2 linked regions of the Ovis aries genome follow. The protein of the gene in region 1 purifies or fractionates together with the protein of each later gene. This does not show direct contact. Links are inferred from orthologs where the notes say so. Each region holds a gene or a part of one and is shown on either strand. Other genes may lie near its edges. The genes, in order: GP6 and LYN.

What was found.
Region 2: the proteins of GP6 (region 1) and LYN purify together in Homo sapiens (affinity purification with western blotting; 5 studies listed by BioGRID and IntAct, with this or other methods). This does not show direct contact. The link is inferred for Ovis aries from reciprocal best matches to the Homo sapiens genes GP6 and LYN.

Annotation. Positions count from the first base shown.
Region 1 is NC_056067.1:63,163,646-63,179,288, reverse strand, and holds the end of GP6 (platelet glycoprotein VI), read right to left. Parts: intron 15,530-15,643; coding exon 15,476-15,529; intron 13,876-15,475; coding exon 13,816-13,875; intron 12,243-13,815; coding exon 12,192-12,242; coding exon of another isoform or gene 12,188-12,191; intron 10,691-12,187; coding exon 10,452-10,690; 3' UTR 8,295-10,451; downstream 1-8,294. Other genes in the region: NLRP2 (NACHT, LRR and PYD domains-containing protein 2), read left to right, coding at 25-195, 1,624-1,788, 3,170-3,340, 3,682-3,852, 4,063-4,233, 4,851-5,021, 7,460-7,598.
Region 2 is NC_056062.1:36,183,029-36,198,196, reverse strand, and holds the start of LYN (tyrosine-protein kinase Lyn), read right to left. Parts: upstream 10,911-15,168; coding exon 10,842-10,910; coding exon of another isoform or gene 10,779-10,841; intron 7,196-10,778; coding exon 7,150-7,195; intron 6,011-7,149; coding exon 5,905-6,010; intron 3,756-5,904; coding exon 3,657-3,755; intron 3,535-3,656; coding exon 3,431-3,534; intron 3,074-3,430; coding exon 2,924-3,073; intron 1,524-2,923; coding exon 1,371-1,523; intron 1-1,370. UniProt on the Homo sapiens protein: Non-receptor tyrosine-protein kinase that transmits signals from cell surface receptors and plays an important role in the regulation of innate and adaptive immune responses, hematopoiesis, responses to growth factors and cytokines, integrin signaling, but also responses to DNA damage and genotoxic agents.

The sequences.
Region 1 (15,643 bases):
GTCCCTCCTTCATCTTTCCCATAGGTCCCAGAATGAGCAACACATGCTCCCTCTCTGGATGGATCTTTGTTCTGTGTTTGAATCAAACAGGAATCTGCTCTTTCTGGACATCAGTCAGAGCTTCCTCAGTACCTCTTCAGTGAGAATTCTTTGCGAAAAAATAGCCTGTGCTGCCTCTAGTCTCCAGAAAGTGGTGTAAGTAGCAGCTAGTCCCTGGATTAAAACTTCCAGGGCATCTCCAAGCTTCTTACATTTTTGTCCCCCTAAGACAGCAATTTAGTTAGAATTTTCCTGGATCTGAGGTTCGTTTGTGTAGCTAGTCCTCTTTGGGTATTTTTTTCTCAACACAGAGAAATAAGAGCTCTTCCCACTTTGGGTTTCATTGGCTCTGCAGTCCTGATTCTAAGCCCAAGAGCATTCCTTGGAGTCAAAGTATTCAGCAGGCTGTTAACCAACATTTCAGAAATGGAGACTTGATTGAGATTAAAACGTGCTGATTTGGGATCATTTAGGACCACAGCCCAAGAGACACAGATTCAGGAAATGCTTGAACTGTGTTCCCCCTGACTACAAAATTGAGGAGGTTTATAAAGCAGAAAATGCAGTGTTACAGTCAGTTACCTGAGTTGTTTATCAAGAATTATAATTGGAGCTGGCAAGAAATAAGAGTGCTCCTTGAGCAAGGATTGCTTGGGGTTTGAAATGGTTACATAGTTACAAGGGGAGATTGGAGGGACTATAAGAGTGGGGTTGGAGGGTGGTGTCCTTGGGCTTTTTAAGAAAGTGCAAGTTCTCAGTGATGCAGAGAGGTGTTTGAGACCAGATTCTCAGTAGCCACCTGACTCCAATTTTGAATACCTGAACTGTGATTCCTCCATTATAATTTTGTCATCAAGAACATAGCATTGTTGAAATGCATCCATTGGTAACACTTCAAGGAAAAGAGATGCTGCCTTATCTTTCTCAAGAAGCCATAGGAGAACAGCTTTTGTCTAAAATGACTGCTTATGACTGACTTCCCTTTGGCAAAAGTTTGAAACAACTAAAGAAATTGGAGCTTCTACTTTCATAAGATCTGTCTATCATCTATCTGTCTATCCATCTATCCATCCATGACATGACAGCTACTAACAGCTCAGATCTTTTTCTTCTATGAGAAGAACTGGATAATTAAAGTTATTTCCTGCTTTAAAAAAAAATGAAACTTGAGCTTCTAATTGTAATGAGCTGTTCATTAAACAGCACAAAGTTTCAGGTATGCAAGATGGTAAGTTCTGGTGACCTGATGAACAGCAATGTGATGACTGCTAACATTACTGCTCTAAATACTTGAAATTTGCCAAGACAGTTCATCATACGTTGTCCTCACCACAGAAGAAAAGAAGGAAGGGGATCTGTGTGCAGTGGTGGCTTGATAGTAGGGGTGACTTCACAAGGTACTTGTATATCAAAACATGGAGTCATGTGCTTTAAATATACACAGTTTTATCTGTCAACAGTATGTCAATAAAGGAAAAAAATGAAAAAAGTCAATTCTAACATTTAAGCCCATGGCAGCTCTTTATTCTATGTGTATGCAGTATAGGTATACAAACTCCAGCTAACATCTGTTTCTTTTCCCAGCCTCAAAAATATTTCCCCAGCTGACACTTATCGGAACTTCTGCATGGCTTTTGGTGGTCACAAGACTTTAACACATCTGACCCTTCAAGGAAATGACCAGAATGACATGCTTCCCCCATTGTGTGAGGTCTTGAGGAACCCCAGATGTAATCTGAAATATCTCAGGTATATCAGCCTCACCACTGCTGAAAACCCTCAGCCTGTGAACAGAGCTAGCACAAACCTACATAGCAATGCTGTGCAAATCAGAGGGGGCAGGAATCCCTTATTCTGACTGGATACCCCACGCCAGTACTCTTGCCTGGAAAATCCCATGGATGGAGGAGCCTGGTAGGCTGCAGTCCATGGGGTTGCTAAGAGTCAGACACGACTGAGCGACTTCACTTTCACTTTTCACTTTCATGCATTGGAGAAGGAAATGGCAACCCACTCCAGTGTTCTTGCCTGGAGAATCCCAGGGACGGGGGAGCCTGGTGGGCTGCCATCTATGGGGTCACACAGAGTCAGACACTATTGAAGTGACTTAACAGTAGCAGAGTCAGAACGACTTAACGACTAAGCAACAACCACCACCCCTTAAGGCACATGCCCCAGAATAGAAAATGAGCTGGAGGGGACTCCCCTGGAGGTCCAGTGGTTAAGACTCCATGCTTCCCTTGCATGGGGTGTGGGTTCGATCCCTAGTCAGGGAACAAAGATCCCACATGCCAGGCAGCGTGGCCCACCCCGCCCCCAAAGAAAGAAAAACATGTTACCTGTATTCTACTCCTAGAAATGCATTTTCTTTATCATGATACTATATATTATGTTCCAATAAAGTTTTATTTGCTCATGATGAAGAATGTGTACCTCCAGGAATAGAATACGCATCTGCAGATAGAATATAGTTGCACAATATGCTCAGGTGGCTGGATTTCTAAATAAGTAGTTCTTGGTGTGTCATCTCCAGACCACCAGTAGCAGCACCATCACTGGGGAACTTGATAAAAAGGTCCAAATTCTTGGGTCTCACCCAGATTCTTCAGAATCAAATTCTGGGTATATGGTCCAGGAATTTGTTGAAAGACATCTTCCAAGTGACTGCAGGATACCTTAAAACATAGATCGCTGGCCTCTACATCTAGAGTCTCTAGATGATTTGCATTTCTACACAGTTACCAGATGGTGCTGATGCAACTGGTCCAGGAATCACACTTGGACAACCTCTGCTCCAGATAATTTAGTCCAGGGTTAACATAATGGCATACTAAGTCATTTCAGCTGGGTCCAACTCTTTATGACCCCATGGACTGTATCCCACCAGGCTCTTCTGTCCATGGGATTCTCCAGGTGAGAATACTGGAGTGGGTTGCCATGCCCACCTCCAGGGGATCTCCCTAACCCAGGCATTGAACCCACATCTCTTAGTCTCCTGCACTGGCAGGTGGGTTCTTTACCACTAGAGCCGCCTGGGAAGCGCTAACATAACAGAGTGAGACAAAACTGTAGACAGTTGTGTGCCCAGTGTCTGGTCCTCATGAATGCCTTGTTGCCATTTCTCCTGCAGGTTGGTGTCTTGTTCTGCCTCCGCTCAGCAGTGGGCTGATCTCTCCTGCTGCCTCAGAACCAACCAGTCCCTCACATGCTTGAACCTCACAGCAAATGAGCTCCTGGATGAGGGAGCCAAGTTGCTATACATGACCCTGAGATATCCGACGTGCTTCCTACAGAGGTTGTCGTAAGTCTCTCCTCTCTTTCCATCGAGCGTCTTTGTGGTAGATGTAGGGTCACACAGAGAAGAGAAGAGGTGGCACCTGGAATTGCTGGGTGAGCAGGCTGGAGCACCCCACTGATATAGACGCCTGGCTCCCACTTTTGGCCCCAGACAAATGGCTCATCTGACTCACCCTTCTCTCATTCCTGTCCCTTTATGACCACGATCACTAGCACACCACTGACAGAGGGCAGAGAATTAACAAAAAGGGGTGTGACCGAGGACTCTAGTCATTGAAGACAGTCAAGAAAGTTGGGTCCTGGAAATGCTTTCACCATCTGGCTATCTGTGTGGTGCTTTTGCAGGTTGGAGAACTGTCACCTTACAGAAGCCTATTGCAAAGATCTGTCTTCTGCTTTGATTATCAACCAGAGGCTGACCCACCTGTGTTTGGCCAAGAATGCTCTTGGAGATCGTGGGGTGAAACTGCTGTGTGAGGGCCTGACTTACCCTGAATGTCAACTGCAAACCCTGGTGTAAGTCTGTGCTGGCTGTGTGTGTCTGTGTGTGCGTGTGTCGTATGTATACATGCATACTGCATTCAAGTAGCGCAGTTTCTAGTTACAGTCTCCAGCGTCTTCAAACTCATCTAAAAAGCCATGGCTTGAGATAGATGGTCATGGTTTTGGTGTGTCTCACTGGTGAGGAAAAAGAAATTTTTTTTCTTCATGTGATCTGATTTCTAGGCTATGGTGTTGCAACATAACCAGCGATGGCTGCATTCATCTCTCGACACTCCTCCAGCAAAATTCAAGCCTCACACACTTGGATCTGGGGCTGAATCACATAGGAATTATTGGACTGAAGTTTCTGTGTGAGGCTTTGAAGAAACCACTGTGTAAACTAAGATGTCTATGGTGAGTTACCGTTTTGTGAACTTTAGTGTGTATCTAAAAGGTACTATCAATATAGCAGACCTCCCCCGCAATTTTCATTGAGTATTTTAAAAATTCCACCAGGATGGGGCTTTCCTGGTGGCTGAGTGGTAAAGAATCCACCTGCCAATACAGGGGACACGGGTTCGATCCCTGATCTGGAAAGATCCCACATGGCACAGGACGACTCTAAAGCCTGTGCTCTGGAGCCTGTGAGCTGCAAGTGCTGACGTTTGCACACCCTGAGCCCATGCTTCCCAACAAGGGAAACCACTGCAGTGAGAAGCCTGAACGTCATAACTAGAGAGTAGCCCCCACACGCCGCAACTGGAGAAGGCCCGCACATATCAGCGAAAACCCAGTGCATCCAAAAGTAGGCAAGTCTTTAAAGAATAAATACAAATTAAAAATTCGACCAGGATGGCATTTTTCATACCCACACGCAAAATTTAATCCCCAAATTCATAGTGAACCACGGAAGACCCCAAATCAACCCTGACCACAAAGACCACTACCACCCAAGTGTGTGCCTGGCACATGGGGTGATATCAACAAGCATTGGTTGAGTAAATCAGTGAATGTGTGTGTTTCACCTACAGGTTGTGGGGATGTGCCATCACTCCCTTCTGTTGTGCAGAACTCTCATCTGCCCTTAGAAGCAATCAGAACCTGATCACGCTGGACCTGGGCCAAAATTCCTTGGGGTCCAGTGGAGTAAACATGCTGTGTGATGCCTTGAAACTTCAAAGTTGTCCCCTCCAGACACTCAGGTATGATCCTCCTACTCCCCTGAGTGTTTGCTCCACGATCCTAGGTTATGGGGGAACACAAACTATAGGAATTTGTTGTAGGCATCTAATGCTCACATTCAACTTTCATTTATTGATGTCTGGTTATGAGATAATTTTCCCATAGGTTCCTTCCGTTGTTTTGACAGAGAAGATGAGTCGAAGGAGACAAAAACTCAACCTGGAAACCAAGAGGCTGGACTTAGGGTTTGTCTACCTGAGGGGGAGTTGTGGCGGCCAGCGATTGTCTCATTAGGGAAATGGAATCACAGCTCTTATATGGTGTTCTCGGAAAGTTTGTTTGTGGACTGTATTAGTTACAGAGGTCCAGTGGGTCAATGCCAGACTTAGAAGCATGTTCTTTGGAGTGAGTTTGCTGTCTAATCGAAGTAATCTGTGATCATAGAAGCTATCAGCAACTGCTTGTCTTCTACTTGCTCACTGTTCTATTGTTCTTGCTCTATTGCTGATTTGCTGCTGTGGCAACAAAGAACCATAAAACTCTTCCCAAGAGTGTGGGAACTTTTTTAAATCCTCAAATGCAACCTAGACAATTAACGGCTTTTGTTGTTGTTCATCCACTAAGTCAGGTCCGACTCTGCAACCCCACGGACTGCAGCACCCCAGGCTCGTCTGTCCTCCGTGATCTCCAGAGTTTGCTCAAATTCATGTCCATGGAGTTAGTGATGCTATCTAACCACCTCATCCTCTGCTACCCCCTTCTCCTTTTGCCTTCGGTCTTTCCCACCATCAGGGTCTTTTCCAGTGAGTTGACTCTTCGTATCAGGTGGCCAAAGTATTGCAGCTTTGGCTTCAGCATCAGTCTTTACAATGAATGCTCAGTGTTGATTTTTTCAGTATTGACTATTTGATCTCCTTGCTGTCCAAGGGACTCTCAAGCGTCTTCTCCAGCACCATCCTTGTTCTTAGAGTAACATATTTGTATCTTCTGATCTGTTCTTCATATCCCATTTCTGATTCCTTTAACACTTTCAACCACACACAGATCATCTGTGGGACTATTTTTTTGTTTTTCTACCAAAGACTATGACCAACCTCTGACAATCATGAATAGACACAACTACATCTGACCTTGAAGGGTCATGTTTTAAATATTTTGAAGCTAGTTTGCCTATATTTTAGCAAAAGTTATATTGATTGCTGACAAGGCTTCTGCTCAAGCTAGCTTAAGGTTGATGGGGTACATGAAGTTTGGGGACAGGGGTGGTCTGTCAGCTTTACTGAGATATAATTAACAAAATTATATATATTTAAGGTATGCAATGTGATATTTTGATGTATGTATATATTGTGGAATGAGCATCACAATCAGTGTAATTAACACCCCATTGCCTCACATAGTTACATTTGTGTGTGTGGTGTGAACACATAAGATCTACTCTCTTAGCAGATATCAGATATACAATACAGTATTATTAACTATAGTCACCAAGCTGTACATAAGACCCCCAAAACTTTTTCATCTTATAACTGAAGGCTTGTTGCATGGATATATTGTGAAACTCAAACAACAAAACAGATTTTGATTAATATGCCAGCAAAATCGGGACTATAATGCCAATCAGAAACACGGCAGCCAATATCCTTGGTCTCCTGGTTTTATAATTAAATTATAATTTTAATTTAATTATTCCCTCTGCTTCCCTGGTCCCCATTTCCACATACACATGACTGAATATGGTTACTAAAAGGCAAATCGAAGAAATGAGACTGGTCTTATCACAGGTCACATACGGGGTGGCAGTTATCTAGAAGCTCGTAGCCAAGGAGCATAAAAAGCTAATCCCACTGACTTAATTCAAGTGTGTCTGCCTGATCCTGGATTCACTAGATAGAAGTTATCAATGTTATGGAATAGGTAGGTTTTAGACGGACATCACAGAGGTATTCATCAACTCCATCTCTAGTGCCAAGCATGATATGATAATCACCCAAGATCATTCAAGCACCCAAAGCTATGCAGTGTCTTTATACCATCACAGTGTTAACCCAGGGCTTCCCTGGTGGCTCAGGGGTAAAGAATCTGCCTGCCAATGCAGGAGACCTGGGTTTGATCCTGGCTCAGGAAGATGCCCTGGAGAAGGAAATGGTAACCCACTCCAGTATTCTCACCTGGGAAATCCCATGGACAGAGGAGACTGGTGGGCTACAGTCCATGACTGTACAGTCAGACATGACTTAGTGACTACACCACCACCACCACCAATGCTAACCCAGTGGCATCTTTTTTCCTGACCAAATTGATCTGGAACTCTACTTTGCAGCATAGAATAACCAATGGAGATGGCCCTTGCTCTGTAAATCCCTAAATCATGAGCTTTGCCAGGCACCTGGGCATTTGGAGTGAAGTTCCTCAAAGCAATAAGAAAATGTTCTCTCTCCCACATTCTACCTCCTAGGTTGAAGATAGATGAATCTGATGCTCGAATCCAGAAGCTGCTGAGAGAAATGAAGGAAAGCAACCCACAGCTGACTATTGAGAGTGATCATCGAGACCCAAAAGATAACAGACCTTCTTCTCATGACTTCATTTTCTGAATCCCCCTGGAGCCATTCATTCCCCAGTAAATTCCTAGATCATCAAGGTGATGGTGAACTCCCCAAGATCCTTCTCAATGTTGTTAGTTGCTTAGCCAGATGTTAGTTTAGCCGTGGTTGAGCCTCTGGTTTACATAAAACATACACTCATCACTTAACCCTGGGGTGGATGGAATGTCTGTGTCTTGAGGATATCAAGAAAAATAAAGGTGAAAGCATTCATGAGTGAAGTCTTATTTATGAATGGATTTCAATTGAACTTAGAGAAAAGCTACTTTATTCAGGGAGAACTTAGCCCAGGGGTGAGGGAATGGGAAAGAAATGTTGGTGATCACATTGATTTGTCTGCGAAGTCATTGCCCAGATCTGGTATTTCTTATCTGTGTGGCTAGATACCTGACAAGTCTTCCTCATTGGAGTATTTCTCCTACTAACCCGGAATATTTTGCAGGCCTCTTAGGTGCTTCAATGGCCTTCCCTGGTGGCTCAGAAGGTAAAGGATCTGCCTGCAAGGCAGGAAACCAGAGTTTAATCCCTGGGTCAGGAAGATCCCCTGGAGGAGGAAATGGCAACCCACTCTAGTTTTCTTGCATGGACAGCAGAGCCTGGTGGGCTACAGTCCATGGGGTCACAAAGAGTCAGACACGACTGAGCGACTAACACACACATACATGAAGTACATGCATGATGCCATCATTGCTCTGATTAACTTTTAATGATTCCATGTTAATGATTTAATGATTCCACAGAAAACAGAACTTCATGGTATGCATAGCTCTTCTTACAGCCCCCAGAATTCCCTTGTGACATACAGAAACCCCAAACTCCTTAAAGCAACAGTACAAGAATTACTTTTTTATTAGAACCTTTTTCTTTTAATTGAATTATAGTTGATTTACATTGGTGTGTTAATTTCTGCTGGTCAGCAAAGTGACTCAGTGATATATACATCTATATATTCCTTTTAATGTTATTTTCTATAAGAATTACTTTCTTATTAAGCACTATTTTCTTCCAAACCTTACTTCCTTCTAGATAGTTCCTCTAGCCCAAGTGGCACAGAGGGCACACTGGGGGCGGGCTCTGAGCTCAGAGTCGCCAGGAAGGCAGGCAACCTGGGGGCTGGCAGTGTTGGGGGAGGGGCCAGATCTTGCCAATCTTCATCACAGCTCCTGGGGGAAGTTCCCTAACAAAGTCAGGGTCTGAGATTCACTCTGGTAGGAACTGGAACCCCAGATGTGTACCAGAGTCATACTCATGGGAGAACCAGACTGGACTTCATCTGAAGACTGTGTCAGCAACAGAGAGGCTTCTGTTTAGCAGGAGGGCACCCAGCTAGGTGCCGCAGTCTGGCAACAGGAAAAGGGAAGTATTTCTGACTTATGTCACTTACCTCCCTAGGACAAGTGACCCCACACAGACAGGGATGGATGTCAGGTAGTAAAGTTGGGTTGGTTTGGTTTTTTTTTTTTTCCTTTTTATTAAGGTGAAATTCATGTAAAATAAAAGTTACCACTTTAAGGTGAACAACTCAGTGCCATTTAGTACGCTTTGTTATGAAACCACCACCTCTACCTAGCTGCAAAAGGTTTTCATCATTGCAAAATAAGAAAAGGAAAAAAAATCACTGATTAAGTAATTACCCTCATGCTAGGAAAGATCAACGGCACAAGGAGAAGGGGGGTGCCAGAGGATGAGATGGTTGGGTGGCATCAGCAACTCAATGGACATGAATCTGAGCAAACTCCGGGAGACAGTGAAGGACAGGGAAGCCTGGTGTACTGCAGTCCATGGGGTCAAAAAGAGTCAGACACGACTTAGCGACTTATCAACAAGTAATTACTCCCTATTTCTTCCTTGCCTCAACCCCTGTCAACCACTAGTCCACCTTCTGTCTCTATGGATTGACCTATCCAAACCTTTAGGATAAGCTTAGGACTTTGGACTTTTTTTCTAATATAAAGGCAAGTCATTAACATGCTGCTTATAATTATTATTATATTCAAAGGGGAAAGAATAGAAGACCCAAAAGCCTGAAAGAGTCAGGTACAACCCAAGAAACAAAAAGATGTTTTTTCAGACTGTAGCTTAAGACAGTGTTGGCATGAGGGTTACATTTGGGGATAATCAGAAAAAAGAAAAAAAAAACCTCAGGAACTGATTCACTTTCCTGCATACCAGAAACTAACACAACATTGTAAATTAACTTACATCAATAGAATTTTAAAAAGAAAAACACACAAGGCAGGTGGGCAACGGGGACACATGGGAGAGTTTTGGGCAGAGGATGGATTGGGTCAGCTGTGAGAGGGGGTGATGTCAGAAGTCAATCCTCAGTGGGGAAAAGAGGGTGGGACGAACTGAGAGAGCAGCCCTGAAACACATACCCTACCACGGGTAAAACAGATAGCCAGTGGGAATTTGCTGTATGACATGGAGCTCGAACTGGTGCTCTGTGAGAACTAGAGGGGGGGGAGGTGGGAGGGAGGTTCGAGAGGGAGGGGCCATGTGTATGCCTATGGCTGATTCCAGTTGCTGCATGGCACAGACCAACACAACACTGTAAAGCAATTGTCCTCCAATTAAAAATAAATAGAACGAAAAAAATTAGTCCATCTGGAGGGACTTCCCTGGTGGTCTAGTGCTTAAGACTCTTCTTTCCAATGCAGGGGGCGTGGGTTCAATCCCTGGTTACAAAACTAAAATCCCCGCATGCCTCGCAGTCCGCCCCAAAAAAAAAAAAAAAAAATGGCAGTGAGCAAGACAACAGTGAGTAGACTGTGGCTCTCATAGTCCACTCACGCTAGGTCCCCTCCCCACTCGCGCGACCAAGACGCAACCAAGCCTGAGATTCTAGTGACGGAAGCCTCGGTTGTGACCGTCTGGTCGACCCCTATCCTGACGACCCTTTGGTTTCTGGGTCTGCGGGAGGGGTGGGAGTGGCCTGTGTGCAGCTCTGATCCGGTGCATCGTCGGAGGTTTCCTTCGGCTGTGCCAGTCTTCTGCCAGAAGCCCCGCCAGGAGAATCAGAATCACAGCCGCAAGGCATATCCGGGCCAGATTGCCCTTGGTGTAGTGCTGGAGGGCAAGACCTAGAGGAACAAGAAGAGACAGGAGCAGATGATAAAAGCCCAGCTCCAAGGGGACTTCCCTGGTGGTCCAGGGGTTAAGACTTGACCTTCCAATGCCAGGGATGCAGGTTCAATCCCTGGTTGGGGAGCTAAGATCCCTCAAAGCCAAAAAACCAAAACATAAAACAGAAGCAATACAATGAAGACTTTAAAAGTGGTCCATCTCCAAAAAAATAATGATAATAGTCTTGGGGCTCCCCTGGTGGTCCAGTGGTTTAAAATCTGCCTTCCAATGCAGGGGGACACAGGCTGGATCCCTGGTCAGGAGACTAAGGTCCCACATGCCACAAGCCTGTGAGGCTTGACTACTGAGCCCAAGCACCACAACCAGAGAGAAAACCACGTGCCATATCAAAGATGCCTCAAGCTGCAACTAAGAAGCAGCCCAGTCAAAAATAAAAATCATAAATAAATAGTGAACAAGCAAACAAACAAAGCTCCTCTCCAGAACCCACTCCAAGCCACATACTGGGTTTGTCACGGCCAAATCCTTCATCTGAAACCCTATTACTCTCTGCTAGCTAGAAAAGCTATGACAAACCTAGACAGCATATTAACAAACAGAGACATTACTTTGCAAACAAAGGTCTGTCTAGTCAAATCTATGGTTTTTCCAGTAGTCATGTATGGATGTGAGAGTTGGACCATAAAGAAAGCTGAGTGCTGAAGGACTGATGCTTTTGAACTGTGGTGTTGGAAAAGACTCTTGAGAGTCCTTGCACTGCAAGGAGATCAAATCAGTCAACCCTAAAGGATATCAACCATGAATATTCACTGGGAGGACTGATGCTGCAACTGAAACTCCAATACTTTGGCCACCTGATGCAAAGAACTGACTCATTAGAAAAGACCTTGATGCTGGGAAAGATTGAGGGCAGGAGGAGAAGGGGACAACAGAGGATGAGATAGTTGGATGGCATCACCAACTCCATGGACATGAGTCTGAGAAAACTCCAGGAGATGGTGAAGGACAGTGAAGCCTGGCATGCTGCAGTCCATGGGGCTGCAAAGAGTCAGACACAACTGAAGAATAACAAGCTAGGATGCCAACCTCCTTCCTCAAGGATTCCTCTCATCTTCACCAAGCATCAGGACTAGATAAGCCCCATTCTTTGAGTAGCATGTCTTCCACTCACCCCCTCACAGGCCTCTGATACAACTTCTCCCCACACACAGACACTACCTGGTTGTTTGGCTGATTGTGGAAGAGGAGACTATCATAAGGGGTGGTGCAGAGATGAAATTTCCCTTCTTCTGACCTTTTAGATAATCTCCACCTTCACACTGGTCTTTGCCCAATTCTGAGCTCCATATGCTAACACTACTCCTCCCCTTCTTAGCTGACACACCAGAACCCAAGACCAGAGAGCTGCAGCTTCTCTGCAGGGAAAGCAGCCAGTTTGGGGTAAAGACATGGGCTAGAGGGGGCAGGAAGCTGGTCCAGAGAAGGACACTTACTCACCAGTTGGAGGGTCTGACTTCTTTGGAAGGACAGTGATATTCCTAGAAGCCTCTGGGAATCAAAAACAATAAGTGTAAAGAGGTGGAACCATCTCTTCTAATCCTGTTTCTACCCAATCCTGAACAGCTGCACTGAGGGGCAGAATTCCAGGTTTTTAAGAACAGTGTGAACCACAAAGGGCTTCTCTGATGGCTAGGTGGTAAAAAAAAAAAAAAAAAAAAGCCTGCCAACGCAGGAGACACGAGTTCAATTCCTGGATTGGAAAGATCCCCTGGAGGGGAAAATGCCAACCCATACCAGTATTCTTGGCTGCGAAATCCCATGGACAGTGGAGCCTGGTAAGCTACAGTCCACGGGGTTGCAAAGAGTCAGACATGACTGAGTGAGTCGACAACATGAACTGCAGAGTCAGAGTGTTCGGATTGGAACCTCAGACTCATCACTTATTAGATGTGGATAGAATGACAATGTTAGTCACTCAGCCATGTCTGACTCTTTGCAACCCCATGGACTGTAGCTCATCAGGCTCCTCTGTCCATGGAATTCTCCAGGCAAGAATACTGAAGTGGGTTGCCATTGCCTTCTCCAGGGGATCGTCCCAACCCAGGAATCAAACCCAGGTGTCCTGCATTACAAGTAGATTCTTTACCATCTGGCAAATGACTTAACAGCTATGGGGTCAGTTTTCCTACTCCTCCTGAGAGTGACTGGGGACCAAGAAGGGTTTTGAACATAGGATGGAGAAGAATCTCCTCAGAGTCTTGGAAAGAACCTGCTGGAATCAGGAACCTAAAGTGTGTGGACCCCATGAAGATAGCTAAGGAATCCTCAGGGAATCTGCCAGGGTTTTCTGTCTTGAAGGAAAAGGAAACCCTCCCTAGAGAAGCCAAGGGCAAAGAGCACAACAGTGGGAGGGACACCTAACTGCCCTGGACTGGAGGATGTACTGTGTCCAGAGAACTACAATCTATGCGGGGCTGAAGCCCAGGACCGTGCCTGGAAGCAATGGCAACACAGCTACATCGATCAGAGCCAAGCTGGAAGAGCACACACCAACGGGATTTCCCTGAGGGTCCAGTGGTTCAGACCCTGCACTTTCAGTGCAGAGGGCGTGAGTCTGATCCCTGTTTGATCCCATGCAGCACAGCCCACAAATTAAAGAAACAAAAATTCAGAACTTACTACCCACGTAGAAGCGTTCTTGTGGCAACACACTTAGTGAGAGAAAGTCCAAAAGAAAAAGAAGACCACCACAGTGCTGGGGACGGGAGGGAGGCTCAAGAGGGAGGGGACGTGTGTAGCTGATTCACGTTGTTGTACAGCAGAAACCAACACGTCGTTGTAAAGCAGTTGTCCCTCAATTAAAAGTACATTTAGAAAAGAAGAAGAGCCCAGTGTAGGGATGCGTAATGGTGTCCCCACGGCAGCCTCGGTGCCGCCACCTTGGAAGCAGCCACGTTTCCCAGAATGCTCCTCTTCCCCCGAGCTCAGAGCCCAGCTCCACCCGACCCTCGCCCTCAAGTCGAGGACTCTCCTGGGAAGAGTCAGGTGGTTTTGAGAAGCAGCCTGAAAGCTGACAGCCTCAGATGACGGAAGAGCGAGCTCTGAGTGCCTGGTTACTCACCAGTTGTGGAGGCTTCCTTTGCAATCGAGTGGTTCAGTTTCCTGGAGGCTTCTGTGAATTCTAAGCAAGACGATTATAAGAAAGTGGGTAATGCCGGGTCTGTTCCGTGAGTCCCTACTCCCCTCGCCCCTTCTGAGCTATCCGATCTTCCTGGAACTCATTCATCTACCACACACTGCACAGACACGGAGGAAAGACAAACTCGGAAAGCCCAAGATAAACCCGTCTTCTACTTCTGAGTGGCTTCCTGAGAAACAGCTCCATTCATCCACTGACGGACATTGGGTTACTTCCACGTTGGGGCTGTTGTGAATTCTGCTACTATATGAACATTCACATACAAGCTTCTGTGTGAATACACTTTTTTAAATTTTCTTGACTGTACATACTGAGGGTGAGGGCTTCCCTGTTGGCTCTGCGGTAAAGAAACTGCCTGCAATGCAGGAGACCTGGGTTTGATCCCAGGTCCAGAAAGATCCCACATACTGTGGAGCAGTTAAGCCCCTGTGCTACAACTATTGAGCCTGTGCTCTAGAGCCTAGGAGCTGCAACTACTGAAGCCCACGTGCTCTACAGCCCATGCTCCGAAACAAGAGAAGCCACCACAATAAGAAGCCCGTGTGTCGCAACTAGAGGGTAGCCAGCGCTCTCCACATCCAGAAAAAAAGCCCATTCAGCAGTAAAGACCCAGCACAGCCAAGGACAAATAATTTCTTTTAATTTTCTTTGAAAAAAGGTAGCACTATTGATTCACGCAACAACTTGGAAAAATCTCAGGGGTATTATGATCAGTTCAGTTCAGTCACTCAGTTATGGCCGACTCTCTGCAACGCCATAGACTACAGCACGCCAGACTTCCCCGTCCATCACCAACTCCTGGAGCTTGCTCAAACTCATGTCCGTTGAGTATTATGATAAGGGGGGAGGGGGTGGAGACAATCTTAAAAAGTCCCATGTTGTATGATTCCATTTATATGTAACATTATCAAAATGATAAAATTAAATCTAGGAAGAACAAATTAGCCAGGGGTTAGGGATCAGGCGATGGCACCCCACTCCAGTACTCTTGCCTGGAAAATCCATGGACAGAGGAGCCTGGTAGGCTGCAGTCCATGGGGTCACTGAGGGTTGGACACGACTGAGCGACTTCACTTTCACTTTTTACTTTCATGCATGGAGAAGGAAATGGCAACCCACTCCAGTGTTCTTGCCTGGAGAATCCCAGGGATGGGGAAGCCTGGTGGGCTGCCACCTATGGGGTCGCACAGAGTCGGACACAACTGAAGCGACTTAGCAGCAGCAGCAGCAGTAGGGATCATGGGAGGGGAGAGGTGTCTATAAAGGTGGGACCTTCAGAATATCTTTGTGAGGATGGAATAGCGCTTTTTGTTTTCTTCCCTTGGAACAGTATTTTGAATGCAGTGGTAGTTATGTGAATCTTTGTGATGAATCGACATAGAACTATACGTATATATTGTGCCAATGTCAGATTTCTGGTTTTTCTGTTGTGCTGTAATTATGCAAGAAGATCCCCTGGAGGGGGAAATGGCAACCCACTCCAGTATTCAAGCAAATCGAGAAATCTAGACTAAGAGGAAAAGGATAACGGGGTTCCTGTGCCTGTATACCACAGACACAGGGTGAATGCTCTGAAACCTACCTGTCGCAGTGGAAGGTGGCTCCGTGGGCAGCCAAGTGGGGGTCACAGAGGCCCCTGAGAAATCAGAAAAAAAAAAAAAGAGAGAGCGATCTGTGCACTGTTATGTGTGGTTCCTGAGCAAACCCGTTTCCTCACCTGGAAACTAAAAATACGGACGCTTCCACCACT
Region 2 (15,168 bases), on another chromosome or scaffold:
GAGAAAGAGGTGACAATTTTTTAAAAAATGAGTAGATCCCAGTTAAGACAGTTCCTTAAAAAGTTAAGCACAGAATGATGTGACTCAGCAATTTCACTGCTAGGAGAATGTATATCCCTAAGAAAATGAAAACACCTGTCCACACAATAATTTGCACATGAATGTTCAAAGAAGTATTATTCATAATAGCCCAAAGATGGAAACAAGCCAAAGGTCCAGCAACAGATAAGTAGATAAGCTGTGGCATACCCATACATGGAATAGTGTTCGCTCATAGAAGAAAGAAATTCTGACAAATGCGGGTGAACCTTGAGGACATCATGCTGAGGGAGATAAGCCAGACACAAAAGGACAAATGTGTGTAGGATCCCACTGATGCGAGAGCCCTAGAGTATCACAGTCATAGAGACAGGAAGTAGAGTGGTGTCCAGGGGCTGGGGAAGAGGGCGTGGGGGTAAGTGTCTGCATTATGGGTACAGGGCTTCCTTCTGGACTGATGGAAATATTCTGGAACTAAATAGAAGTGGTGACTGTACAATATGAATGTGAGTTGTTCACTGTAAACTGACTGACCTTATGTTACATGAATTTTACTTCAATAAGAAAGGAAAGGTGAACAGAGCAAGGAGGAGGAGGTGATGATTTAGGCAGCAGAGGGGGGACAGAGGCACACCTAGAGCAAGATCACGCCCCCGGTCTGTGGACCTGATTGGAAAGAGTGCCACGTACTCACACAGATCCCAGTGAGCAAGGTGAGGCTGTGTACTCATGATTTAGCCTGATTCCATTATCATGTTCCCAGAGAATTACAGCACAGTAAGAATTAATTATGGACTTTCCAGGTGGTGCTAGTGGTAAAGAACCTGTCTGCCATTAGAGGAGATGCAAGAGATGCAGGTTCGAGCCCTGGGTTGGGAAGATCCTCTGGAGGGGGGCATGGCAACCCACTCCAGTGTTCTTGCCTGAAGAATCCCATGGACAGAGGAGCCTGGTGGCCTACGGTCCATAGGGTCGCAAAGAGTCAGCCTTGACTGAGTGACTGAGCACAGGCGCCCAACTGTTCCTTTCCCCGAGATGCCTGCACTTAACCGTATGTCCAAAGAATCTGCTGATGAGAGAGTCAGAAAGAGTAGACAGATAAGCCAGGATAAGCGCCCACTGCCCCTTCCTTGTAAACACTCATCCAACAAGAGAAAGCCTAAGTCTCAGAGAAGATGAAGAGTCTAATCATGAGGACTGTGTGGGCTTGTTCTTGGCACCCGGTGGACAGAGGGAAATGAAAGCATCAATGGTTCTGAGAAAACTGATAGAAATCAGCTGGAGCCCTTACTTCTCCAGAAGGGACTCAGGCTCCAAAGCCACACACTCACCCATCCAGACTTCCCCGAACTGCCCGGCGCCTAGCCTCTTCACCAGCTTGATGGACTCTCGGGGGATCTCCCAGGCATCCTTGTCCCATGGCTTCTGTGGTTTGGGGCTAATGCACGCCTTCTCCAATCTCCGGCACAAGCCATCTGACTGCTCTAATTTCAAAGAGAAAGTAAATGTGGAAAAGTCATCCTTTGTATTTTACCAGTATCTACAGAGAAATCTGAACTATGAGTTTTATCATTTCCAACTCGCCAAGGTCTACAAACTTAAAATGTTTATGGGTGTATCTTCTGTGAAACCATGACTTGAAATTCTTAAATGAAAGACAATGTAAGATGCACTTGATTTGATTCATCAGTAATACTAATCTATGAAAATAAAAACAATAAAATAAATAGACAAACATAGGCTGGCAGGTTGTCACACTTAATAGACTATAGTTTTAATTACTGAGTCTGTGTAAACTCTTCAGGGCACAATGGTGGGAACTTGGTCAGGTCACCAGGGGACACCCCCCCCCCCCCAGCCTCAGAACAGAGCCAGGGCTCCACAAGTAATCAACACATGTGCCAGACGAATAACTTGATGGGGGTAGAGAGAGGGAAGGACTTACTACTCTAGAGTACTTGCTCTCTCCATACTTGGGGACATAAGCAAAGTTTATGTGTATTACCTTAGAGCAGCTTGAAGAAATAAGCAGTAACAGCTTCCCACTACAACTGATCTCAAACACAAAGGGAATATACCTAAAGGCTATTCAGGGGATCAGCCTAGCAAGGCTGTAGGGCAAACTGGGGACGAAGGACCACTGACTGGCCACTTCTAATTGTTTTGGTGTTATTGTTGTAATTTCTGTTTTCTTTTACCAAGGGTACGTATTACTTTTATACACACACATACATATGTCTACACTAGAACACAGATCTACAGATCTGCATTCCTAGCCTGGATATTAAAAAGATGTGTTGTAAAATCATGCACTATATGAAAATAATAGTCATTTCTATCTTTGTAATTTTTGAACATTAACTGTTAAACAGCACAGGCTAGGTGGGAAGGACTAGGATAATTATACACAAAGATCAAATCTGACTTTGAATGCTTGTGTGTGCTTAGCTGCTCAGTCGTGTCCGACTCTTTGTGGCCCCATGGACTGTATAGCCCACCAGGCTCCTCAGGCCATGAGCTTTTCAAGGCAAGAATACTGGAGTGGGTTGCCATTTCCTCCTCCAGGGGATCTTCCCAACCCAGGGACTGAATGGGTGTCTCTTGTGTCTCCTGCATTGGCAGGTGGATTCTTTACCACTAGTACCACTGTTGAATGTATAGTTATAGGTTACTTTAGGACCAGTTACAGAATATGATCCTGCAACTTTATCCAAAAGAAATATGATTCTTCTTTCTAAAGAGGCTACCAGGAAAACTACTAGAGTTCGTCAATGAATTCTGTAAAGTTTCAGGATACAAAAATTTTTTATATAAGTTTGACATAATATATGTATCATAACAGATGTATCTTTCTTTTCTTGTCTGACCTTGTGTTTTCACTTACTTTGATAATGCTTAATCATGTCACTGATACAAGGAAAAGTGATTCGTGGGGAGATGTAATAACCCCCATTGTCCAGACTTCTGATTTTGTAGTGCTTAATCACATCACCGTGCACAGGGTCACAGTCTCTGACAGACAGAGAATAACTTCCTGCAGAGAAAGAATTACAAGCAAAGATTACACTTATATTTTGTAAACAAGATTGGCATTATGGGGAGGGAAGTTTTGGGAGTTTGGGATTAACAGATGCAAACTATGACACATAGGACAGATAAACAACACAGTCCTACTGTGATATACCAGAACAGAACAGAGTATGAAAAAGACGGCATATATGTATAACAGAATCACTTGGCTATACAGCAGAAATTAACCCAACACTGTAAATCAACTATACTTCAATAAAACAAGATCTGCCCACAATTCTTTTTCAACAGAATTCTAGAATCATTTCTAAGAATGATTTCCTAAACAGCATTTGATAAGAGGCCTTATGTCACTTCCTACCTTTTAATGTCTCGCTTTCTCTGATCAGGAAAGCTCCAGCGCTGTTCCCTGGGGCCAGAAGCTGCCTTTCTGCATCTTTCCTGGTTATATCCTTGAAAAACCACCTGTGAAGACATATTAACATCCCATGGCTGTTGTAATCCCGGGGAGAAAAAAGATGAAGAAAACGCAAGAGATCCAGCATGTCACACAGAACCACTCCAGACCACTCCACGAGGGGACTCACTCTTCCGTTTCCAAGGTGTTGACTTTGGCCACATAGTTGCTGGGAATGAAACCTTCTTTCTTTGTCGAAATGGACTTGGCTTTCCACCACTCTCCGTGCCTGGAATAGAAACCTGCATCAGAAAGGGTTTGTCGGACTTCCCTGATGGTAAAGTGACTAAGAACTACCTTGTAATGCAAGGGATATGAATTCAATCCCCCGCCAGGCAACTAAGATCCTGCACGCCATGGGGCAGCCTAGCAAGTGCTTGTGCCTCCAAGAAACGGGCCACACGCCACAGCTAAGACTCGACGTGGCCAAATAAACACGCATTATAAAAAGAAAAAAAGGGTTTGTATTCAATGACTCAAGAACTACAAGAGCAATTGTCTTAAGGTGTTTGTCTTGAGGGGTGTGGGACAGTAGGGAAGACCCTGGGACCCCAGAATGCAGGGGGAAAGTTAATGTGTCCTGATGAAATACAAATATGTTTAGTGAAGGATGCAAAGGAAAACAGCCTCAGGACTGAGGTGTGGGTCTCTGTGCTCAGAGCTGCTGCATAAGAGTTGGTGAAAATGGTTTCCATCTTGCAGAAACAGAGTTCTTAACTTCCCCGGGGATATCTACAAAATGGGCTTCCCTGGTGGCTCAGAGGGTAAAGAATCTGCCTGTAATGCAGCAGACCTGGGTTTGATATGTGGGCTGGGAAGATCCCCTGGAGGAGGGCATGGCAAACCACTCCAGTATTCTTGCCTGGAGAATTCCCAGGAGAGAGGAGTCCATGGGGTCACAAAGAATTGGATACCACTGAATGACTAACACTTTCACTTTTCACACTTACAGAAATGGGAGTCAAGGGAATAAAAGGTCATAGTTCTTAAGTTATAAACGCCTTTGTTGAAATAGCTAGTGTCCATAGGCTGATGCCATGGGACAAAAAAGAAAACCATAGATCAGTCCCAAGCAGATGAGCCTCATTACCACCTCACATCTCCTGCGAGAGGCATGGAGCCAGGGAAGGAGCTGGGGAAGGAGGAACGGATGGTCGCCAACGGATGAGCCTCAGCTGTGTTCCCATCAGGTTCCCACACCCAGATGGGACCCTCATCTGGCAAGACATGAAGGACAATTTCAACTGGCACTCGGCTGTGGTACACTACACGCCTGTGCCATATTTATAAAAGGCACACACACACATAAGCCATTTCTGGTTTCCAAGCGAGACACTAAGATACAGAGTTAAAATGACTTGTCACGGTCACACAGCGATCAAGTGGCAAGGACAGAATGAGGCTCAAGTTCACATTCAGCCAGTAATGGACAACCCCTCTCAGCTACTCAACACCTTATACTTAATAAGGGCCTCTCTCCTCCAGCCAACCAAGGGTCTCCTGTTGGCAGGCCAAGGTGATGCTATATGAGGAGTAGTAGAATTACTGAAGTTCCTTATTCTCAGCTCAGTCCTGAGCCCTGTGAGTCAACCTGGAGGGGTCAAGAAAACGATGTCCAAACATCTTCACAGAAGCACTAAGTGCTGAGCAGGGGCTTTCCCGGAGATGACCGCTGCCTCGGTGCCCCACCCTGATGACTCACACCCAGTTGGACCCATACACTCAGTGTGAATTTGAGGAAAATAACAAAGTAAAAACGACATTAAAAGAACATGCAGGGACTCCCCTGGTGGTTCAACGGTTAGGAATCCACCCACCAATGCAGGGGACACGGTGCGGATCCCTGATCTAAGAACTTAGATCCATGTGCCTCGAGGCAATGAAGCCCACCCACCACAACTAGAGAGCCCGTACCCTGCGACTACTGAAGCCTGTTACACTCTAGAGCCCATGCTCTGCAACAAGAGAAGTCGCTGCAGTGAGAAGCCTGTACATTGCAACTAGAGAGTCGCCCCTGCTCACAGCAACTAGAGAAAGCCAGAGAGCAGCAACAGAGACCCAGCACAGTCAAGAATAAATTTTAAAAACATTAAAAAAAAGAAATGCAAATTCTACATAGATCTAAGCCTCTTAAGGCAGCACAGATGGATAAGGAAAGACAATGGTGTTTGGTTTCAAACGAAAAACTCTTGGGAACTGCTCACAGTAAAGCCGAGGAGGAAAATCCCTCTGGCCCTGCTCCTTTTGGCAGCAACAAGGCTGGAGTTCCATGCCCACCCCCAGAGGGGTGTCTGCCGTGCCACTGGCGGCCAAGCCCGAGGAGGGGGATAGGCTTCGGGACTTGGTGCCATAGAAGAGGGACATCCAGTTGCACTTACTGCTCCAGGACTTTCATCTTTTCCCCTTTCTTGAAGGACAAGTCGTCTGGGTGGATGCCATCGTACGGATACAATGCAATCACGATGTCCCCTTGCTCCTCTGGATCTGAAAATGAACAAGGCGAGCAAAGACCTTTAAGAATCCACAGCAGAATGTTTAAAATGGATAACCAACAAGGACTGATTGTATGGCACAGGGAACTCTGCTCAATGTCATGTGGCAGCCTGGAGGGGAGGAGAGTTTGGGGGAGGATGGATACATGTATACCTATGGCTGAGTCCCTTCACTGTTCACCTTCCCTGTTCGCAATGTGGTTAATCGGCTATACCCCAATACAAAATATAAAGTTTTTTTTAAAAAAAGAATCCACAGCAGAAATGTTGTAACACCTTGTCATGGGGCACAGAGTGCAGGGATATACTGAGGAAACAGGCAGCTGGAAAGAGGACCTGTTTTCCTCCCAGATGGCTCGGGGTCCACATGGTCCATGGTTGGCCACACACTGTGCACACTGGTACAATGTCTGTCATCTCAAATCATAGAGACCTAGGACCTCAATGACTTCCAGCTCTAGGTTTAAAATGTGATACACCTGTGCTCATAGCAGCATTGTTTACAAACGTTAGAAGGGGAAAACCATCCGAAGACACTGTGTATACATACCACAGAATAAAGGAATCAAAATTCAGACACCTGCTACCACATGGATGAACCTTAAAGACATTATGCTAAGTGACAGAAGTCAGCCGCAAAGGACAAATACCATTTGATTCCACTTAGGCGAGATCCCCAGAGCCGTCAAACTCATAGAGACAGAAAGTAGAATAGGGGTACCAGGGGCCGGGAGGATGGGGGATGGGAGTTTGCGTTTGATGGGCACAGAGTTTCTGTTTGAGATGATGGAAAGTTCATCATCCCAGATGGAGAGATGGATGGATGGAGGAGATGGCTGCACAAAAATGAGAAAGTAGTTAATGTTACTGACCTGAACACTTTCATGGCTAAAATGATAAATTCTATGTTATGTCTATTTTTCCACAATTAAAAAAAAATTCGGAGACACATAGTTTTTCAAGGCAGAAGCCTAGTGTGTCTCCCTTTGCCTGGCAAAGCAATAAAAGTATCATTTTCTACCTCACCCTGCCGCCTGCCCCCACAAAATCAACAAAAACACCCAGGACAACTACTTTACAGAGACTTGAACAGTAAAGAAAAGAAACTGCCATGGCGTTATGAAAACATACCTTTAGTCTGAAACCTCTGTCCTGGTAAAAGCTGAGAGTCTGGAACCTAAGAGAGAATATTCATCAGAAAAATATTTTCTATGTTTAGCATTTTATGCTCACATTCATACTGTATGTTATGTCATTTTTGAACAGAAGCAAATAGGGTTTAGATTTGTTAATTTATTAAGCCAGAAAGAAGAGGAGTGCAGAGGAACAGTCCTGCGGAGCTCTATTCCGATCCTTGCCCCCCGCCCCAACCATTGAAGGGCTTTTCCTTCTTCAGCAGCCACTGGCCTGGGGGTGACAGGACATTCTGAGCCGCTGCTGAGCCAATAGGCTCCCTCCCCTTGATTCAGTACCAGAGCCCAAGTAACCTTAGGAGTGGCGGTTTGCCCAGCTCCATGGTGATGCTTCCCAATTCTCCAGCCTTCTATGCAGATGGCAAGGAGTTGACCTGCAGGCAGGTGATGGGGCTTTGGGATCGGCTTTCTTATTCCCTGGGCTGCTTCTTTCTGCCCAGAAGCAAGTGATGAGCTGGGCTTTCAGCAGCCATGGATACCAGTGACCAGAGACAGCAGAGCAGAAGATGGAGAGCGGTCCTAGGGGCCACCTGGGTCCTTGGTGACCCTGTGGAAGTGCCACCCAGGCCAGGACTGCTGATCTTCACTTTTCCCAGACTTGTTTTAAAAGCTGCTGTAAGGGCTTGGTCACTGGCAGCTGAGAACAAGTCCTAACAGATCCAGGCTTCCTGTGGCTGACCCCGATTCTGCTATGGGGACAGATGGCATCCCTGTTATTTTAGCTTGGAGCTGAATGATCAGGAAGGGCCTGATGGTACAAAAGGCCACCCCAATCACCTTGGAAATCAAATTCCTTTTTCATTCGTTGACATGGGGAGGATGTGCGAGACTTCCCGGGTTTTATCGTGTTTCTTTTTGATTAACGTGATTGAATGGAATATGAACCAAAACAGCTTGTACTGAAATTTAAATTTCTGATGGAAGTCAGCCCATCAAATCTCCAGGGGCGGGGAGCAGGGGATTACGTTTTTCTGGTTCAGAAACTCTTGGCTCCGGATGATCTTTCAATACTTATTTCAAGGAGTTCTATACTGATTTTTAAACTCATTCAGATTTGCATAATTAGAATGTATGATCAATTTTAAAGGAGTTAGAGGAAACAATTAGAAGATGAGAGACTGATTAAATCATTTTGAGAGCAGCAAGCTGATTTTCAAATGTCAAAGAGTCCTTAATTGACAAATGATTGAACACATTCTTCAGAAGGCCAAAACACATGTATAGACCTCATCTGTCACCACTTTCCTTCTCTAAAATGTCTTTTCCTTAGAGTGTTATTGAATTTGTGTCAGTTCAGCCTTGCTGTCACACAATACAGCCTGTAATCAATCCAGGGGTGTGTTTCGGGCACATCTGGCTGGAACTGAATGTTATCCATGGAATAAGGCCCAACTGCCCAGTTACAAACCAGGGCACCTGTGACCAGAGAAGGTGGAGTGTGCTGCGCTCCGGGGGTGCATGAGGGAACTGAGAGATTTCAAACATGCTTCCTACTTCTGCTTTCGAACTTATCTTTTAACCTCCTTTACTCTTGGCAAGAGGAAAAATGGTGTGTAAGTTTGTACTGGTCTCCTTTGCTTTTCTGAATGAAGGACATCTTCTTTCATTACATTAACAAAAAATGGGGGATTGTAAACCATGTAAAATCTACAGCACATGACACTAGAAAAAGTCAGGTCCTTTTTATGACACCTTTGAAGTCTATAACGAGAAAATTATCTGTGACTCCAAGTCCTTGTATCATTTCATTTTCTGTTAGTCATATTTCCATAGCATAGCTCCACATCTATACCTATTTATGTGATGTCTTTTTGAATATTATGTTTATAGGTATTTATAACTAAATTATAAAACTTATTAATAATCTTGTACATTTTGAGTTTCTGTTATAAAATTACAACATTTAAAAAATCTTTTTCTTTATTTTTGGCTGTGCTGGGTCTTCATTGCTGTGCATGGGCTTTCTCTAGTTACGGGGTTACTCTCTAGCTGCAGTATACAGGCTTCTCAGTGCAGCGGCTTCTCTTGAGCACGGGTTCTAGGCCCACAGGCTTAACTGCCCTTTGGCATGGGGGTCCTTCTGGACAGGGTATCAAATCCATGTTCCCTGCATTGGCAGGAGGACTCTTAACCAGTGACCACCAGGGAAGTCCACAATGTTTTTCTTAAATTTCTTTTTTGGTTGTGCACCACAGCCTATGGGATCTTAGTTCCCCAGCCAGGGATCAAACCCTTGCCCCCTGCATTGGAAGCACAGAGTCTTAAAAACTGGACTGCCAGGGAAGTTCCTAAATTAATGTTAATTTATCTGTCTAGAAATATGTAGGGAATTAACAGCATAATGTCCTCACTTTTCATCTCTACTTTTTTGCAAGAATGCCAACACCGACTTACCAATCTCAACAATGACATGTGACCTTGACACACACCATACCTGCAGGATAAGGGCGAACGTGGGGGAGGGGGCTGGTACAGGGAGTGACAACAATGGTATACTTCGAGAATGCCAAGGCATTTAAAAACATGTCAGATTAGAGAAACAATGAAAACTCTTAATGAAGGCATTTGGACTCATGTGGAATAAGCTGCTTTCAGCTTAAACGCTGAAACACTGGTTTCCATAAAAACCAGGCAATGGGGGATGTACATATATACAGTGAGCAAACAGAAAGGACCTAAGATCTGAAGTAAAGTGCATTTAAGGTTGTAATTATCCAAAGCTCTGTTCCTTTCTTCCATGAAATGTGGTATTAGTTCTTTGCCAAGCATTTCTCAAACACATCAGAGAGCACATCCATCATGTAAAAATGCTGGTACAGATATTTGTCCTACGTTAGAAGGCTTAAATCTTTTAATTCTCTATAATAAGTCATGACAACTTCAGTGTTCATACTAGTTTGAATTAATTGAAGAACAACATGATGGGATAAAGTATGATGGCTACCCTGGTGGCTTAGCGGTAAAAAATATGCCTGCCAACGTGGGAGACACAGGTTTGATCCCTGGGTCAGGAAGATCCTCTGAAGAAGGAAATGGCAACCCACTCCGGTATTTTTGCCTGGGAAATCTCATGGACAGAGGAGCCTGGTGGGCTATGGTCCATGGGGTCTAGAAGAGCTGGACGTGACTGGGTGACTAAACGACACCAACATCTACCAAAGGGCATATTAGCACCTATTTTGGCTTCCGACTAGAATTCAGCATTTCCTTCTGCTTCCAGACCACTAATCTTATTGCCCATCCTAAGTCACACAAGCTCGTATACGTGTCTTTACATATAAAGAGAGGGTATTTGTACCAGTGACAGGAAAGGTGATAATCGCCACACATAAGAAGGTGACCAAAGGCCCCTTTATTGTACATTAAGTGACCTGGTTGTCTCGAATATATTTATAAACTCTTTAAAGGATTAAGTTACAAAGTATATCAAAAATTATTTGAGGCCCAAGTAATTAACATGATTTTTTTTTTTTTTTTGGCATGCACATGGTACAGATTTGGAGTTTAAATTACGCAGCCATGTTTTGATCCTGCCGTGGGAACGCTCCCCTGAGACTATCTACTTACTGGCCTTTGGTGTTTATTGGACGTTGGATCTCTCACATAAATAGTTCGGTCAGTATTACGTACTGGTTGCGTCTTCAAATCTACTCCATCGTCATTCAGATTGTCTTTCCTTTTTGACTTTATACATCCCATAGTTCCTGTTGGAATACAAAAGCAACGGCATCGTTTTACCATTCCAGAACTGGCTTCCAGCCACCGAAGCTTCTCCATTAATAGAGAGAAGGTAACAGCGACTCAACAACAGCAAGCACACTTCTAGTCTTCATCGCTGATGATTTAACCAAGTCAAAGAGGTGAAGACCGTTCACAAGCCAGGTGCTTGTTCATAATCTGTTCACTCATTCATTCAACAACCATTTATTGAGCATCGATTTTACGTCAGCATGAATTCCTGCCCTACAGACGCTCCTGTTCTTGTGGTGAAGATGTGTGAATTAAAACAACAATGTGACGTGGCAGGTCAACGACAGAGGATGCACAGGACACAGGAAAGGACACTGACCTCAGGCAAGAGGAAAAGGATGTGGGCAGGGGAAGTGTCCTGATGGAAACGCTTCGAGTCAGAATGGGAGTGATGTCAGCTACGTGGCAGAGTCAGTAAAGGGATTCCAGGAAGAGACAACTTCACATGCAAAGTATGGGCCCCGGGAACACGGCCCCTTCAGGGAACTAGTTCAAGTCAAACCCTTCAGGGAACAAGTAGGGAAGTCCAAGAGTTGGGCTGGAGGGGGAGGCATGGCTGAAGACAAGTGTCACTGTGCAAGGTGAAGTGAGGGGACCTGGGGCTTCAAAGGCAAACATGAGGAAGAGCCAGGAAGCATAAAGGGTGGCTCCAACCTTATGTGGTTTGGGGCCTGGGACAATGGTGGTGGCCTTCACGGAGACTGGAAATCAAAGAGGAGACACAGGTACGGAGAATAGATGCTTGTAGGAACACCCACACGATCACATCTGTAGACGTCCCAGTGAGACGTGTGAGTGTGGAAAACAGGAGAGATGTCAGAGCCAGAGGCACAGAGGGTGCCGCCAGCCAGCTTAAGGCTTCAGGAGAGACACCTCGACAGAAGGGGGCTTGAGCACAACCAGTGAGACAGACGGAACCACCCTTCTAAAGGCTAAACTCTTTTCTGTCTATTCAGTTATACTAGGATGTGCAGAGTGCCACCCAAAGCAAACTGGGAACTTAGATCTAAAGGCGACTTTAAAACTGAAATTGGATATGACTATTCCTCACAGCACAGCCTCATGGTCAAATTTATACATTAAATACAAAACAAAATCTGTATGCACTCCACTACAAGGTTCGGGAGGGTGGTGTTCCCGAACCTAAAGGCACACAAGAATCGCCTAGGTTCACAGAGCAGATTCCCTGGACACAGTCCAGGAAGTTCTCCAGGGGCACAGTGGGGTGGGCACTCCAATGTGACTGTCATTCTCAGGCACTGCCAAAGGGGACCCCTGCCCAGAACATCACAGAACAAGGACGGTTTCACGTGGGGAAGGCAGGTGATGGGAGTTAGGAACTCCTCCTAGAGGAGGAATGGGTCAAAAAAGCCTCAGAAGCTCATCCCCATTGCCCCGGCTCGGCCTGCCTCTGGTCCCACAGGCATCAGCGACCACCGCCTTGTTTATCTTCTCATTGGCTGACATAGGAAGCCTCTGAAGACGGTCACGCCTCTTGCTGAAACTAGCGAGCTGTAGTTCCCAAAATAAAGGGGAAGCAAGTACTTCTTTGACTCAAAACAGCACAGTATTTTTTTTCTTTCATGTGCTAAAGTTTCTGAAATGGGATGGGTTTTCTAGTTGATCTGTAAATAAACAGGGGAGCTCTTTTTTGACCCATCCCACCTCCACCCCTACTCCTACCCTTCAAAAAAAAATGTGTTTTTAACTTATTCGCATCAAAATGGGGCTGCATGAAGGAGGGAAGTTGGTATTGGAAAAGGCCAACCCTAGTGGACACCAGTGGCTCCCTGAACTGTGAAAGGAGCAGCCCAGCGGGTCCCCAGGACACACACATCCCTCGTCTGTGCACCTCTCCCCAGGATGTTTCCCGGAGGCCCACTTGTCTCCCTAGACCCTCCCAGACTCTAACACACTCCAGTTCTGTCTTTTTTCCAGATCTGGACCCAAATGTTGCCTCCTCAGATCTTCTGAAGCAGACAGGCTGGGCTCCCAGCCTGTTTCTCCTCTGTAATGCCACTCCGAGCAGGTGCTCAAGGGTTCATGGAAAGAAGGGATGCACCAAGTGCTCAGGGTGCTGCACTCTGGGCTTCCAGCGTGCTCATCCCAGCCCCTCCCGCTCAAGACAGGCAAGGAAAGGGAAAGGGGACATCCCTGCCCCAGCCGTTGCTGTTGTATTGGAGATAGAGGCATAGAGACCTGTAGAACTAAGTACTAGTTCATAGGAAACAGAGGATAAAGGGTCAGAATAATCAGACAGGTCCATGATGTGTCAAAAGGTGAATGAGGTTTGAATGAACAGGTGAGTGGGGGAGGACACGTGGTGGGGATCATTGGAGATATCTGAATACATGTGAACTCGATCCCAGGGGATTACACATTTCATTGATGTGATGTGGTACTGTGGTCATGCAGGGGAAGGTCCACATCTGAGAGGATGCTCATGAGGCGGGTAGGGATGTGGGCTCGGGGTATCTGCCAGCTGTCAACATTTTCACCAAAACGAAAAAGAAAAAAGGGGGACAAGGGAGCAAGAGGAGGGGACAAATGTGGCAAAATAGCTTTAAAAAAAATTAGTGACTCTAGGTGAGGATTTTTTTTTTTCTGTAGATTTGACATTTTCAAAATAAAAAGTCGGAAAAGGGAGAACACAGAAGGACATAAACGACTTTATGCCAAAAAATTCCCAGGAAAATATTAGCTACCCCTGTAGTGTGTGCGTGTGCACACACATTTGTGTGTGAAGGCAGATGTGATTAGAAAGTCACTTTGTAGGTGTTAGTGATATGGCACAGATTGGGGAATTGGTGGTTTGGTCCTCTGAAGGGGTGATGGCAATCGTCTGAAGGCCGTGGCCATGGGAAGGAAAACAGAATGAAAATAAAAAGTGGGAGGATGTGTGAGGGGTCGTCTAATCTGCAGTATTATTTATTTATGCATATTTCATGATTTCCCTCTCCCCATCACATGGGCTTCCCTGGTGGCTCAGATGATAAAGAATCCGCCTGCAGTGCAGGAGACCTGGGTTCAATCCCTGGGTCGGGAAGCCCCCCTAGAGAAGGGAATGGCAACCCACTCCAGTATTCTTGCCTGGAAAATTCCAAGGAAAGAGGAGCTTGGCGAGCTACAGTTCATGGGGTCACAAAGAGTCAGATACCACTGAGTAACTTTCATTTTTCATCACACAGATAACTGAGACACCCATGTGCACACTGGAGACGAAAACCCTAACCCACTACCACTGAGCTTTGAGTTTGGGTCCCTGCAGCTCAAACATTCCAGCAAAAGAGCTCAGAGAGCATCCTGTTGCATCAGAGGATAAACGCTGCCAGGTCTTCAATTCTTTTCACTGAGCCACGGTACCAGAAAAACACAAAACCCAGTGCACTCCTAACAAAAACTAAGAGCCCAGTTACACGTTTGCAAGTGACAGGAGCTACGCTTTATAAGCATTTACACCTTAGTATTTATTTTTCAATTAAATATCTGTAATTTTCTGAGCATCTCATCTAATCCTTGAAGAAACCCCATGACCCAGGTATTATTAATCCCATTTTACAGAGGAGTAAATGGAGGCATGGAGAGATTACATGACTGGCCTCAAACCATCGCACAAGGGAACGGTGGACTCACATAGCTTTCACCGGAAGTCCGTGCTTTTTTTTCCTTACCCTTTTGCCAAACAATGGCTATTTTGAAACGTGTTTTATCTCATTATTAATGATGCTAAAGACACTGTTCTTTATAGCCTGCTTCTTTCTCAAAAAGGATTTGAAATGCTTTTACCAAAAAGTGAGTTTAACAAATTGGAAACAGAAAACTCTAGGCGAGGAAAAGAAGACAAGGCCAATGTGGATCCAGATTTGCAGTAGGAGCTTTCCGGCAGGAAGAGCCAGAGCCGGCATCACAGGGCGCTCTCCTGGGAGAAAGGAAGCCGACCTGGGTCCACAGTGGACGGGCACGCCCCGGCATAAATTTCTAGTTTCATAGGATGGGCTTCACTTAAAGTGCTGTTGGCAATGTCTTTGATATTTCTTTTTTAACAGTAAATGAAAGCACATTTTACATGTGGACTCTGTCGTTCAGTTGCTCAGTCATGTCTGATTCTTTGTGACCCCATGGACTGCAGAACATCAGGCTGCGCTGTCCTTCACCATCTCCCGGAGTTTGCTCAAACTTATATCCATTGAGTCAGTGATACCATCCA